2 linked regions of the Rhinolophus ferrumequinum genome follow. The protein of the gene in region 2 purifies or fractionates together with the protein of the main gene of each other region. This does not show direct contact. Links are inferred from orthologs where the notes say so. Each region holds a gene or a part of one and is shown on either strand. Other genes may lie near its edges.

The links.
Region 1: the proteins of RHEB (region 2) and RPTOR purify together in Homo sapiens (affinity purification with western blotting, with the first as the bait; 3 studies listed by BioGRID). This does not show direct contact. The link is inferred for Rhinolophus ferrumequinum from reciprocal best matches to the Homo sapiens genes RHEB and RPTOR.

The regions. Positions count from the first base shown.
Region 1 is NC_046304.1:53,773,205-53,781,195, forward strand, and holds the start of RPTOR (regulatory-associated protein of mTOR), read left to right. Parts: upstream 1-4,989; 5' UTR 4,990-5,767; coding exon 5,768-5,929; intron 5,930-7,991. UniProt on the Homo sapiens protein: Component of the mechanistic target of rapamycin complex 1 (mTORC1), an evolutionarily conserved central nutrient sensor that stimulates anabolic reactions and macromolecule biosynthesis to promote cellular biomass generation and growth.
Region 2 is NC_046309.1:3,537,180-3,544,691, reverse strand, and holds the start of RHEB (GTP-binding protein Rheb), read right to left. Parts: upstream 3,009-7,512; 5' UTR 2,575-3,008; coding exon 2,523-2,574; intron 1-2,522. UniProt on the Homo sapiens protein: Small GTPase that acts as an allosteric activator of the canonical mTORC1 complex, an evolutionarily conserved central nutrient sensor that stimulates anabolic reactions and macromolecule biosynthesis to promote cellular biomass generation and growth.

The sequences.
Region 1 (7,991 bases), on a different chromosome or scaffold from region 2:
GGACCTGAGAATCACTGATGAGATGTGAATGTTACGGAAAATAACAAATGGGGAGTTTAAAAAGACTGTAAAGAGAGACAGTTGGTGATATAGTTTGTATTCTCATAAAGGTAGAATCTTATTGTAGGCAATATTACTCAAATAAAAGGTTGTAAAATTCAATTTGAATGGTTTTTATTGGATAACAAATTTTCTCATCGTACTGTGTTTCCCCCAAAATAAGACCTAGTCAGCCCGTCAGCTCTAATGCATCTTTTGGAGCAAAAATTAATAGAAGACTTGGTAATATATTATATTATACCTGGTCTTCTAGTAAAATAAGACCGGGTCTTATATTAATTTTTGCTCCATAATGTGTCTAATCAGACACATTAGAGCTGGTGCTCCGGCTAGGTCTTATTTTTGGGGAAACACGGTAGTTTCTATCATACAAGGTTTCCTTTTTTTCTTTTCAGACACTGTCTGCCCTGGGCACAGGTCACATCTTGGGATTCTACCCCCAGGATCCACTTCTGTTCCCTTGCCTTCGTGCATTTCCTTCTCGGCTCTGTCGGTGGCGGAGGCCGCACACAAGTTCTCAATTCTGATAGAAGAAGTGTGGGTAGTGGGTGGCGTCTGTTCAACAAGAGCCGCTTTTTACCATAGCCCCTGTGCTTCTCAGGGCTTGCCCCTGTTTTGGAATGGAATAACAGTCTCTGCTTATCAAAACTGTACTTGCTCAGTATAAAAAATATGAATAAAATAGAAAGGTAAACTGGAGGGGGTGAGATCACATACAGAAACATGACGATTTTTAGACGGATGAACTGGGTGGAGAGGACGATATTCCCTTGGCTTCTGCAGCCTTGCATTTCCCACGGAGGGCGGGCGGAGGGCGACGCTGGGGCTGCTCCTACCCCTCTTCCCTCTCCTCGGCCCCTGTCAACAAAACATCTGACCTGCAGAGGGAGGTGGCTTGGATTTTGCTAAAAATAGTGTAATGACGCTCAGAAAAAGCAAAGTGCTTTATATCTATTTTGGTTTCTTTTAGCCTAAGCACCGATTTCTCTGGAAAGGACAGAAGCCGGCCCGTCTCCCCGCGTGGAAAACAAGAGCTCAGCGAAGTTCCTGGTTTTCTCGAGCTGCTTGACCTCCCGTCTCGCTACTGATTCTTGATGACAGGACATTCAATGCCCTTGATTGATTTAGTGGAGAAGCTGCAGCGTTGGAGGGCAGAGCGCAGCTGGTTCTGCCTCGCCTGGGCTGCCATGGTCTTGTGCCTGGAGGAAAGATTAGGTCCCTTGCATGGGCCAGCAGCTGAGGTTGGAAGCTCTGAAACTCCAGGCGCTTTCGTTCTTCCTGTGCTGTGTACAGTGCCTGAGGCGTTTATTCAGGCCCCCGCCCTGCCCATCTTCCCTCCCCCCACCCATATTTCCCGTGACTTCTGTTGTATTTGACCGACACACTCAGGTTTGTAAATGTGTTCTCTGCTCACTTTGCTGTATCTTTGGCTTCTGGTTGCCAAGTAGCCCGAGTGAGGCTGGAAGGGGTCATCTGATCACCTTCACGTTCTAGGGCGAGGTCCCCCTCTCTATACAGGCAGGTTTAGGGTTATTCTGCTGTTTCAGATCAGAGCCTCCCCCGCTTCCACACCTGCAGCCTGATGGCAGCCATCAGCAGGAGGTCATCAACACCCTCCCCTGCTTTCATAGCTTGTGTTAGACCAGGTTCCGTGCATTTTTTGAGATTCACTTGTTTTCAAGATTAAACTGTCTTGTTTAGAGGCTTTGTGGAAAGCAGGCAATGTCCTTGCCTGTGAAGAATTGGAGACACCGGAAATTGGAACTGCAGGCCCAAGTCGCCAGCCCATCGCACGCCGGGTAATAAGATCACCGAGGTGAGAAAGATTAGCCTGTGAATTTCCAGCCTGCCATTACTCAGAGCCTCTCACTGCCATCCGGAAACCTGGAGCCACCCTTCCAAATGCTTATCTGGGACTTGAACAGTCACCCATGACACATCAGAACGAGTTTGCTTTTAAATGTCATGATGCTTTGAAATGACTCAAGCCCATTCTTAAACCTTCAGACTGGGAGCTGGGCTGTCACCAGCCCCTTCCTGATTTACACATGGTCACAGAATTTTGACCCCGAAGTGCCCTTAGAGATTTACCTTCTTCACGTCACCCATGTCACCCCGATGTGGAGCCTGAGGATGGGAATGGCAGCATCTTGGCCATGGCTACAGGAATGGGTGGTGAACCAGGGACCGGAGTGTGTATCCTGACCTTCAGTTCGGGACGTGGACCCCAGATGGCCTCTTGGTTCTGGGGTCACACTTGTCGTCCAGTAGGGGGTGACTCCTGCTGTGACTTGTTGGATGGAAGATTGGATAAGTGCTTCGGAGCATTCACTTACTCGGTACACATACAGAGGGTGCCAAAAAAATGTATACACATTTTAAGAAAGGAAAAAACTGTATTAAAATTGTAATGCTCCATATACACAATAACAACAGATAAATACAAGTCATGTGTATATATTTTTTGGCGCCCGCAGTATTTACTGAGGGCCCGTCACGTGGCTGGAACGGACTCATTAGAGGAGAATGCTGCCTAATGTCCTTAGAATATTGTCCGATCCCCCACATCTGGCTCATGTGAAGCTATCACCAGGGTTACCTGATTAAAAAACCCAGAGGCTGAATCCTTTCTTCCCTCTCCTTGTGGCTCAGTACATCTAGGATGGGACCCTGGCATCTTCATTTTAAAACAGTTTCCCCGGCGATTCTGACAAGCTGCCAGGTGTGCGTGCCGTGGCCTCCTTTACTGACTTTGTGGACACTCAGACAAGGCGAGTGGCTTTCCCAAGGTGACACATACTGAACAGATGAGGAAACTGGGTCTCACACAGATTAAGTGGGTTTCCCCAGGTCACAGAACTAACTATGCAGCTGCTTTTCTGCTGCCGTGGCTTCCTCCCAGCACTAGTGCCTGGAGTGGTTATCTGTGGCCCCTCACTGTCGTGTGCTGCAGGGTGGCAAGGCAGCAGCTGGAGTCGTGGTGTTGCGTTCAGGTGAGAATGAAACAGGGCCCGGCTGGGACCCCCCTCCCCCGCAGTGGAGGCCTTGCGCGTCCCGGCCTCGCCTTTCCTTCATATAGCTTAGTAATAGATTGTCCCCCTGTGGCTTGAGCTCGGAATGTCCCCTGTCCCGGTTCCCAGCTTTAGAAAGTCACCCTGAAACTTATGGTTAATACCCTTAGGCTTACTGATCACAATCTCTGTGGTCTAGCATTCTTTCCAGGATACTCCCATCACTGTTCCTGGGCTGCTGACACCACGGGGAGAACCACGTGGCCACAGGGAAGGCTCCGTGCAGACCCCTGGAACCATCATGTAGCCTCTGGAGGAACTCCCATGTTTTCCCTTAAATATCCTAAGCCGGTCTGAGAGAATGAAGGCAGTTTTTGGAGGTCTTGACCTGCTGCCTTATCAGATCACGTGTGTGTTCCGATAATAAATGCTTGTTCTACAGCCCAGACACAGCCCCTGTGTCTGTGTATCGGCTGGCCGGCACAGGCGGCATGAGCCCCGGACTCGGTTGCCCTCCAGTTTCAAGAACAGGGCCTTCTCAGGACCTCGCAGTCCTGAAGCCTCTGCTGGTGACGGTGGCATGTTTTGCCAACACAGAGCACAGGGAAAAGGAAGATTTTAGCCTCCATCTGTGTTTTGGTGATTTTGCCCTGAGTTGTAATGGAAGGATTGGGCTCATAGAGATGTAAGAACTGAATGAATGTGTGGAATGACTTCATGTTTGGACTGATTTAATCCAAGAACTTTTAGTAAACGCTTGCTATGTGCCAAATGAGAAAGATCTGGGATTGCACTGTTCACTCGGATGTGGAAAGGAACACAAGCGTCCTCAGGATTTCGACGTGGACCACCACGTGGTGTCACAGCCCTGAGAAGCCACACTGAGAAAAGGTATCTTCTAGAGCCCAGCCTGAGGTTTTTGGATGAATAAGGTACCCAGGGCGCCTACATTTCATTTTGGCTATACAGTGGTCGTTGCTAGTGTACTGGGCACTCACGATATACTAGTCACCTTCACAGGTTAATTTTATCCTTCCAGGTGGGTGTTATTATCCCCGTGTTATAGCTGGGAAACTAAGATTGAGCTCTTTAAGGGATTGACTAAGGCCACAGAGATGGAAAGTGATACAGGTGCGCCTGACACCAAAGCCCAGTGGAAGGGAGGAAGACCAACCCCTGGCCCCCTGCTGGGCTTTGCCTAAAGGTTACTGTGTGTCTCACTAGACAGGACATTGATTGAAGGCAGGCTCTGCACGCTGGTTGGGTTTTGTGTTCCCTCCTGCACCGGACAAGGTCTGCACACATTATAAATAAGCAAAGTCTGCTGAACTGAAGCAGAGAAAGAAAGTTACGCAGGAGGCGTACATCCACGCCTAGAAATCTGTAGGTTTTAGTTGTTTGCACATGAAGCTATCTCAAAACAGGAATAAACTGCTCAGAAAGTAAGATGGATTAAACAAAAAATTGCAATCATTGAAATTATTCTTTTCTCTTGGTGTTCCCTGAAAATCTGATTGGTACTGTGAAGGATACTACACGCACACAAACCCTCCCCCCACCCCAAATCCCATCTTCTTTTGTAATATTATCAATGGTTCTTTCTGAAGCTTTTCCTGCCTTTTCAAAATCTGAAAGAAAACAACAAAGGGGTCGAGATTCCTTTAATTTCAGAAGCACGTGGGTCCATTTGTAATTATAAAAAGATTTTTTTCAAAGTTAATTAATTTAACATAGTTTTATTTGTAGGATTGACTTTGCCACCACGCAGCGAAAGAATCGCAATAAACTCTGGAAAGCTGCACCGTGGTGACCACGGTAACGAAGTTGGAGCAAAAACTGCTCCCATCGCATCTTGGGAAGCGCGGCCGGAACGCTCTGAGGTAGTTTGGTCTGTTAGCCACGCCGTAGATCGCGATGCATGCTGGGTCTTAGCAATATGGCGTCCTCCTTGATGTGCTGATGAGAGGAGTTTCACTGTAGCTTCAAACCAGAGGGCAAAACTCCCCAAACCCAATAATCCCACATTACCTGTTTTCTCCGCGGCGCCGTGTCGCCCGTTTCTCAGGACTCGTTCTCAGGCAGGAGAGAGCCACGGGGCCGAAGGTCAGGACCGGCCAGGCCGCGCGGACCCGGGGCTGAGGAACCGGCTGCGGACGAGCACGATGGGCCGGTCCCGGCTCTGGTTGCAGCAGCTGCGGCGAGTGCGGGACCCGCAGGGCTGAAAGTGGCAGGAGGAGACCCGGGGCGCTCCGAACCCCTTCCCTTCGGCCGGAGACGTCAGCCCAGTCGGCGAACCGGCGTCAGGAGCGGGCGGCCTGCCTGTCCTCGGGTCGGCCGAGGCGTTGGAGGCCGAGCGCAGGGTCATCGTGCGGCCTGAAGCCCCGCACGCCTCTGACAGCTCCGCTCGCAGCCCCCCGGGAGCAGACAGCCTCAGAAGCAGCCGTGTGCGTCTGTGCAGAGCCCCCTGCGCTGCCCCATCTCCCCGGCCCTTCCTCCCCCTCCGGCTTCCCTCGGAGAGAAAGGATTTCAGCAGACTTTTTGCCAGAGCGAGGGTCTCCGCACGCTCTCCATTTGTTTCGTTTCTGACTCCCCCCGTATCTGTTTTGTAGTTGACCAGTTCTGGTGCCCACTAGCTTTTAAGGCTGGAGGTTCTCGAGCGCTTGCTGCCAAGGACCCCCCCACCCCCACCCCCCCTGATGGAGTCCGAAATGCTGCAGTCGCCCCTTCTGGGGCTTGGGGAGGAAGATGAGGCCGACCTGACAGACTGGAACCTGCCTTTGGCTTTTATGAAAAAGAGGCACTGCGAGAAAATCGAAGGCTCCAAGTCCTTAGCGCAGAGCTGGAGGATGAAGGATCGGGTAAGTGGATTCCGGCTGCGCCCCGAGGCCTTGGGAGTTTTTTCAACAAAGGAAAGTTCAGAGCCAAAAGCACGTCCTTGGGAAAGCGGGAGACGTATTTTCCTAGCCACATGTCGCAAGGCAACTAAAAACCACACACCATGTCAGACGCCAGTGTTTGGCTGAAAATGCAAAGGCTGTTTTGCTTAGTAATTCACAGGATAGTGTGAAGTCAAACCAAGTTCTGCATCAAACAAGAAAAGTTAAGCAAGTTTGCAAATAGAGCACTGCAAATATTTAGGCGCTGTTTGATATACTCAGTGCTGTTCTTAGAGGAAAAACATCGTCAGATATACTGCTTGTCCCCACGTGGAGAGTCTGTTGTGGTGAGTTGACGCTTTTTGTCCAAGCAGGTGAAATCCAGAAGTCTAACATAGCTACTAGGAAACATGATTACTGGCAAACGTTCATCTAGTAACAAATTAATGCAGAGTTGTTTTAAAGTTACAATGGACTTCATAGCCTTCTAAACCATTTGTCTTGAATACAGACTTGCCTCCTTTTACGTGCTATCATGTTGCTGTGACTTGGAGACAGAATTTCTCCAGGGGAGGAGTTAGAGTAGATGGAATGGAACTTGGGGCCAGGATTTCGGCGGCTCCCCATGGTGTTGGGAGTGCGCACAGTGATTCAGAAGCAACTGGTAGGAAAGAAAACAGCCCATTTTGTTGACTCTGTCCTTAATCAACGACCGTCTGTTTTCCTGGTCTCCAAAGCAAGTGTGTGGGACTGGCTCAGCTATGCACACTTATCATTTGTCTTTCTGTGGTTTATTTTCTCCTTCAAGACTGTATTTATTTAAACATTTTGGTGGTATAAGAGGGGTAGTTGGTGTTACCATGGGATTGCTTTGAGCTCATGAACGTGTTTCTATAAGATGATTTATTGTTTTTAGTATATGATGCTGAACATGTGAGCTCAGCCTTATGGCAGTCCTAGTCAATCACTGGTGACCAGCTACTGATTGAGCTTCTCTTTAAAAGGTTAGGAAAATTTGTTTCAGCCAAAAGCAGTGTAAGGAGTGCAAGAGACAGTCATCAGAAGAGATTGTATAAAGCCTGTCTTACGACCTCTTTAGTACTAATTATATAGTTCAAAGCTTTTGTGGTCTCTGCATGTATAAAAAGTTTATTTTAAAGTTACTGTCTAATCATTTTTTTTTTTCATTCTATTTGGAGGGCATTTTTTTTTTCCTTTTGAAATGTAGTTTCCTCTGCTATCCTAAACCTGTGCTCAAACAGTTCAAAACTGATAAGTGGATATATTTTTGACCTTTTAATTAAAACATTAAGTTTATGAGTGATCAACATCCCGTGATAAGCTCTTCATAGGTTATTAGGAGAAAGACAAGTTCTGTGAATCTGAGTAATTACTGAGATTACTACTTAGAAAAGAGCCAGGTGAGAAAGTTTGCCGTATCTGACGTTTGCAAATTGTTCAGTGAAGAAGAAAATCAGCAGCTGACAGTTTTAGTAAGTTTGTGAGAGCTTGGCATCTTAACAGTCCTGTCGTCTCTTTCCACTGGTTGGACCCTGACGGGACCTTTCAGTACACCATAGTAGGACAAAGGCTGCGAATTCAAAGACGGTAAGATTTGGAAGGCAGCATAAGTGAGTGAAACAGGCCAGCTCTAAGAAGAATAATGGCACAGGTTCAAAGAGAAATGGCAGCTGACATTGGACTTGTGTCTGATTTTTCTGGAGGGTGGAAGAGTGGGGCTTAGAAGAGTACGCCACATCCCTCCCTTTCTTTCTTTCTGTGGGGACAGAGCCCCAGAGAGCAGTTTCCAGGCTCTCAGCCTCACGTGGAAAGGTGCTGGCTCAGGTAGTAGGTGGCCGTCAGCTGTGACTAGTTGGCCGTCAGCTGTAACTAGTGAGCCATTGGCCACTGATATAACTGCCGCGGCTGAGCTAGCAAGCGCGGATTGCAGCCAGCACAGTGGGGTTGGTTGGTTGGCAGAGAAGCGTGGATGGCGGATTGCGTGGCTCCTACTTCCTGTGTCTCCAACCCAGCCGCCAGCAAG
Region 2 (7,512 bases):
CTGGAAGTTTCGTCAGTGTTTACAAAAAAGTACAAAATCTGAAAGTCAAGTACTAAAACAATTATAGCATTTAGTAGTTTTTACCTGAAGGTAAACTTAAAAAAAGAAAGAAAGAAAAATTTTAAAAAAAGGAGAACATTCTAAGAAAGGCATGGTTTCTAGCTATACCTTTATCTACCACTTCTAACCCCAGTCAATATGATACAACAAATTAGCATCACAAAATAACACAACCTAGAAACAAATGTGCTAAATTTTCTCTAGTATAGCACCATTTGCAAGCAAACACATCAGTCACCTCCTAGAGGTCCACACACTGAATAATTCTCTGAAGACTGGCTAGTGCATGGGAATCAGGGAACCACTTTCTTCTTCCTTGCTGGCAAAACAAAAGACCCCACAAACTCCAAAGTATCCTGACTCAGAACAAAGGTTAAGAACTTTAAAATCAAATGCAAAAACTGGGAGTAATTTAATCTTTGCAAAATACCTTTTACTTTAATCATCACTACACTTGAAAATAAATATGGAGAAAATGGAGTAGGATATAGTAACAGGACATATTGAGGGCACAGAAAATAGGGACTAGAACTTACTTTGTGTCCCACTGGACGCTAATTTAGCACAGTATTTTAACAGCCTGTTTGTTAAAATAAACAGTTTAAAATAAACGTTTGTGAAGAGAAGACTAACCGGTGACCTGTCACATCTGGGTCTTTAGAAGGGGATGATGAGAAGGAAGAGAAAACAGAAGGATTTCAACTGAACATAAGGAACTTCTTTAGCAAAAGAGTGATAAAACACTAGACTTGCTTACAGAATCATCACCTCAAGAATTTCAAGGTGTGAGTAAGTCAGCATCTTTGGGACATTCTCGAATTGAAATCTGGTAGCCCAGGTACATATCACCTGTAACTTGATTATTCAGAGACTGCTATCTTCATTTAGTGGGCACTATGTATCTGATTAGACATGTCACAGGCCCACTCTTCAAAATGCAGAGGAGGAGGAAATAAGGAGAACACAGAAGCAAGGGCTGGGTGATTCAGGCTGCCAATAATGGATGAATGCGGGGTTCCATATGGACATTTCGGGAGTGCACTATTCGTGACTGTAAAAGCCTCACTTTGAGGCATGGGTCCTTTTGGCTGCCGCTGTTAAGGCTGTCACCTATTCTTCCCCCACATACACCCAGGATTTGGCACTGCATCATACAACAGTCATCCTATGACTCTTGGAAGCCCCTATCTCTCTCTGTCAAAGTGCTTTGGGATGGATGCCCCCATCCCAAAGCACTTTGACAGAGAGAGATGATAAAAGGATGAGTAAGCATGCGGTAGCTGATCTTGGTCAAAGAGCACAGACCCTGGAACCCACGGTGGAAAATGGGGGGAGGAAGAGAACAGCAAGTGCAGTCGGGAGTTCATCCAGAGCTGTGAGCAGTTACAAGCTTTCCTACAGCAGGTATAGTTACCACCCGTTGCAATCACCATAGACTCCAAGCCCTCGCTTTCAGCTCCTTCCCCCCACTGCACTCAAGTGCACATTTTCCTTGGACAGCTACTCCTTAAAAACAACTTGAAAAGATAAATGTAATTTCCCCCGGCTTCTGCTTGTCAAAGACAATAAAGCCTCACCCTGAAGCACGGTGAAGTTCAACGGTTCTGTTCTCTTACTCTTTTTTTTGGCACGCGGTCCACCCCCCACCCCAACCACAGACCACCTCAGTTCGGTAAAAAGGCGACTGCCGGGAACAGTTTTAAATACGTCAACCTTTTGTTGGGGGGGAAAAAAACCCCACCACAACAAACTTCTGAATTACTTCAACAGCCCGGTTACAAGTACTTGACCTTATTTGCGCCAAAAAAAAAAAAAAAAAAAAAATAGGACACCGAGAGATCAGAAATGTTTTTCTCCCTGCCTTCCTACTTTGGTCGGGGCGGCATCTGGGGGCTACCCAAGAGGGCTCTTGTAGGGCTTCTTCGATAGGAAACTTGCTCTCAGTAGCCAAACGTCCTTTAGGCCCCTGGTTTTCTTTAAAATGTTTAACTTCATAGACAGAAAAAAACCCGAGGTGATGTTTCCTTTGTTAAAATCCCACGGACTTTATTTAATTTGCGGCGGAAAGGCTGCTAGCCGCGATCACGACAGCAAGCCGCGAAAAGGCGGTGAGACAGGTGCGATTTCTCCCTCTGGGGTGCCCTGCGGCAGTTCTGGGAGGGCGGCGGACCCCTCCAGCGCCACCCGGGCCCGAACGAACCTGTGACTCCCCTCGCGTCCGCGGCCTCCCCAGACACGTCCTCCCCGCGTCCCGGCCGCCCCCTGCCGCCGCCGCCCCGCGGGGCCCGGCCTCACCGCCGGCGCCGCTCAAAATGGAGGTGGCGGCGGCGGGCGGCTGGTTACGAAACGCGCGGCCGCCACATGGCCGCGCCAGCCCCAAACTTGGCCGGGTCCGCCGCGTCCCGGCGCCTAGACGAGGCCGGGCTCGGGCGCAAGGAGGCCGCGCGGCGCCCGCCACTCACCCACGGACCGGTAGCCCAAGATCGCGATCTTCCGGGACTTGGACTGCGGCATCTTGGCGGCCTCCTCAGGCCCGGGCCAACCACATCAACTGCGGCGGCGGCGGCTCCTGTGCTGCGATCGGCGGCGGCCGCGCCGGGGCAGAGCGGCATCCAGGGGCGGGGCGGGGCGGGCGGGCGCGGGCGGGCGCGGCTGCCTCGGCTCCAAGCTCGCGCGCCCAACCGCCCGGAACCGCCGCGTGGACCCGCCCCCAAACACGCCCACGTGACCTCCCGCCGCCGCCGCCGGCGGCTCCCCAGCGACTCGCGTCAGCGCCCCCGCCCCAACCGCGGCGGCCGCCCCCGCCCCAGAAAAGCACAGGGGTGCGTCGGGCAACGTTTTACTTTAAAGGGAGAAAAAGGCGACGCCGAGATACCCCCGGAAATGTCACGACTGAAACTCGCTGCGTCATGACCCTCCCTCCGTCTTCCGCCGCTTTTTAATTACGCCAGTTCTCCTCCAATGTGTATTGGACAACTTTCGCCCGCCCGCGCGGTGACGCGACGGAAACTCCGTTTCCCATTGGGGGTGGCGAGGAGGCGGAGCCTGAGGGCGGGGCTGCTCGCCCTGGAGCTAAAAATAAAATCAGGCTGCGACCGCGCGGTTGTGCGCCAGTGAGGTTTGAAGGCTTCGGAAGTCGCAGGGGTGGGGGGCGGGCGGGAGCGGAGAGAAGCTAGCTTCCCAGTGATTGGTTAGAGCAGGTTGAGAGGCGGAGCAAGCTGCGGGGGGCGCGGTGATTGGCGAAACGACGAGCGGTTGGTGGACTCGCTACCCCCGAGCCGTTAAAAGGCGAGAGGCGCGAGGCGCGTGGCTGTTACCTCCTGGCCCGTGGGTTGGCTGTGTTTTTTTAAAGGCCCTTTGATATATTGGCGTTTAAGTCTGGGTTTGGAGGTGTACGTGGTGACTAAACGTCATCCAAGGTGAGGGGCCGTGAGAAGAATGGACAGTGCATTAATTCAAAATGTTTTTCATTTCATTCAAAATGTGTGCGTTTCCCCAGTTCCGGTCTCAACCCTGCCACGTGCCGACGCGGCACACCTCAGTAGACAAACTTAAAACACTAGTTGTTGTTGGCTGCGAACGTTCCAGAACCGTCATTCCGACGGGGCTCGCTCTCCGGTGTGGGCTGACCTCTCCAGACGCGGCCGTGTTTTCCACAAAAGGCGCACTGACAACCCCTTTTCCCCGGTGCTGGTGAAGAGCCCTTGGCGGGGCACCAATGATGAGTGCAGGGACAGCAGCCCGGGGCCTCCGTCATGGAAAATGAAGGGGAAAGCCAGGCCTGGGAAGTGAGGACAGTTGGGAGATTTCCAGCTAGGGAGACTTCCATCATGGTAGATATTCCTGCCCTTGGTGATTGCTAAAAAAGCAGATACCCCGCTACTCGTACGAATGACCCGTTGGCCTCCGGCTGTTAGACAGTGTTGACCTGTTGAGTGGGACAACTTGCTGGTCATGCATGGCTTTTTGCCTTTTCCAGTGAACACAGAGAAGGAGCCCCAGGAAGCTGAGCGGCAAGATTGGATTCCTGGGTATGAAGATTTAGAGGTGACTGTCCCATAAATATGCCTGTTGAGTTAGCACACTGGCGTTAAGACTGAGTCCTTCTCTGCCCCGGCCACGTACTCCGGCCACGTACTCCTCGGAGAAGGGGCATATGCATTTTATGCATTTTTTCCTTGGAGGGAGGCGGGTGTCTACAGATCGAAGCTTCAGGCATCCAGCTGTGAGAAATGTCTTTGAAATTCTGTGTTTTATCTCAATGGATTTTTGCATTCTACTCTATAATTAGTTGAAATATGTAAAAACTTCAGGTCTAAAAATGGACTCTCCAGGGAAATGTATCATTTTCATCCTGCGGGTTTGGATATCCCCAACCACAGTATTTTGAACTGATAGTACTCGACTCCCTGGTGGGTTGTGAAATCAGCTTAGTGGGTGTTACCTTCTTTTTTCTTTTCTTGCTTTTTTTTCTTTAATAGAACAGAATGGAAAATAGTATGTTGCCTACAGAAAGTATTGTTTCATCACATTTTTGTTGTGTGGATATATATTTACAGATGTGATATATATGTATTGTGTACTGAGTCCCATGGTAAAATCTGTTTCTTACTGAGGTTGCCTCAAAAAGTTTGAATGCACTGCCTTAGTCTAGGAATATTAGGAATCCAGACCAAGAAGTGCAGTTGTCCAGCACAAATCATTTAAGAAATGTTCCAATTGTCTTAAAGCCCTTTAAGGTTAGTCAGACCCAGGAGTTTTGAAGATTCCTTTGTTCTAGAGTGGGGAGAATTCGGTTTAAGAAATGACTCAGATTACCTAAAATAATTGGAATTGATGGTATGAATTCACATAGAAATAACTGATTGCAGCCAAATCTTACAGGAACATGGGTGGGAGAAGTGGACTTGCTTCTAAATGCAAAGTAGTTTCACTGATGAGATCACTTGTTAACCTTTTAAGCAGCTGGAACTTGTGCTTCTTTCTATTCAGGGCTGCTCTGTCTTGTGAACTCTGCATGCTAACTTCTGTGTTTTCTTCCACTGCCTTCTGTTTCCCTGGGAACCAAGAACTCCGTCTCTTCCATTTAAATTCCAGAGAGAGGACATGATTGGTTCAGCTCATTACCATCATCGCTCAAGTGAAGGGCTCATACTAAACCTGCAGATGGGCCGAAGCTTCTGCTGGCCTGAACCCCCTGCGTTGGTTGATGAGGAAGTTAGTGGAAGTTATTTGAAGCTGGAACTGTCCACATCATAGGAACATTTAACTTGCTGTGAGCATTGACAAGTTCAGTGACATCTGATTTCTAATTCCAACATAGTTTTTTAATTCCCAGGGGTAATATACAAAACTTCCTTTTTTTCCCTACCATTGAGAAAGAATGCTTGTTTTTTCCTGAAAGGACATTTGTGACATTATTTTACCTTTTTTACATGGGAAAGAGTACCCCTAAATGAAAGTAGACATGAAAGTGTTTAGTTTTTTAAGTGTTTGTTAGAGGATGAATGGAAAAGAACTAGACTCGTCTTCTTCTTGGAGTAGCCAAACCAGACTGATACGTTATGTCTCACGTGGGTATTGTTCAAATCAAACAGTGCAGGTTTGGGGATAGAGGCCAAGGTCGTTTCATTGTGTGGTCGTCTTGTTGGAGTCCAGAGGACAGATCCTGCTCGTGTGGCGGGGGGCCTGGTTTCCTCGGCAGGTCCTTACTAAGCCTGCCCTCAGCGTCTTAGTATGAGGCCATCCTGGGGAAGGCAAATCCCGGACTGGGATGAAAGAATCTCCCCTCGCTGAAGCCAGGGATCAGTCTGGCCCAAACCTGTGGTATGGAGTTGCATGGAGTGCTCCCAGGAGAGGGGCGTGAGGCCAGCCAGCCTAAGTCTACGTAGGGAGGACATGCGTGGCGGAGGAGGTTGGCTCCGGAAGGAGCTCTGAGGGCAGGTCCAGGCTGATGCAGTAGTTGTAAATTGTTCTCAACTATTAGGGGCTGAATGTGCCCTCCCCCCCCCAAAAAAAAAAGATATGTTGAAGTCCTAACCCTCTCAGAATGTGATCTTATTTGGGCATAGGGCTGTTGCAGAGTTAATTATTTGAGACCATACTGAAGTAGAGGGGCCCCTAATCCAACATGACTGGTGTCCTCAAAAGAGAAGAGACACAGGCACACAGACACAGAGGGAAGACAGCCCCGTGATGAGAGATTGGAGTGATGCTGCCACAAGCCAGGGAATGCCTGGGCTCACAGAAGCTGGAGGAGGTGAGGAGGATCCGCCCCTGGAGACTTCAGAGGCAGCGTGACCTTGCTGACACCTTGACTTGGGACTTCTGGCCTCCAAAATAAATTTACTTTATTTTAAGCCACCAGTCTGTGGTACGTTGTTACAGCAGCCCTAGAAAACTAACACATCAACTATAAAATTCTCAAAAAATTTTCATTAAAAGTTCGAGTCTAGTTTCTGCTGGGCTGTGGAAGAAATGGGCCTTCTCCGCAAGCCCCCAAGCCACAGTGCACCTGATAGCAGCTTTCGCCAGCAGAGGAGCTGCAGTGCCCAGCAGAGCAAGTCTTCTGAGGGTCACATGGCTGGAGCAGAACTCCTGTGCCAAAGCCTGCGCGATGACAGCACGTGGGGAATGCTCAGGAAGACGCAAGAGGCCAATTCCTTACAATAAAACAAGGGATGGCTCATGCCAGTGAGGCTTGGGTTACCTACGTTCTGCAGATGTGCCTTAGATGTGGCATTTAGTCACAGTGTTCATGGCCACCGAAGGATGTAATTACCGGTGAGGGACATGTTCACTATTGGTTCCTCCTCCTGTGTGAAGGGTTGTCTCATTGTTGGAATTTCTTTCATTGGTGTGCAGAAAAAGAATAGAACTTCTATTTTTAAAACATTTTTATTTTACAAATAAAGAATTGAGCTTTACTAATATGTAACGTATGGACTGACCATGGCACCCTCATAGCCTGTATGACAAGACAGATGGTGCCGGGTCATGACTGGTCTGAGAGGTATCCTGGGTGGCACTTCCACAAAAGGGAGGGGTTGGCATTAGTGCCCTCACTGTTTTGTGCTCAGAATATTATACTGTATTGCTTTTCATGCATCATCAGGTTCTGAGGAATTACAGAATCTACTACGTAAGTTCTGTTAAACTAAATTAAATCTAACAAAATGGTCATTGGTCTTTGAAGATTCCTTCAAAGAAACCATGAATTAATGATGAGAATAAAAACACAACATGAGCACACACTAAGAAAAATGGGAAAGCCATCACCTCTTCCTTGAATGAGCTCTTTATCAGCTACATTATAGGCAAACCCGATAATCTACTCACATGACAAAAATTTTTACAGAAACGTAAAAATTAACAAGAGTATTTAAAATACGGATTCGTATCCACTAGCATTAATGATGACTACGTGTAATTAGACCTTGATATTAGCTCATG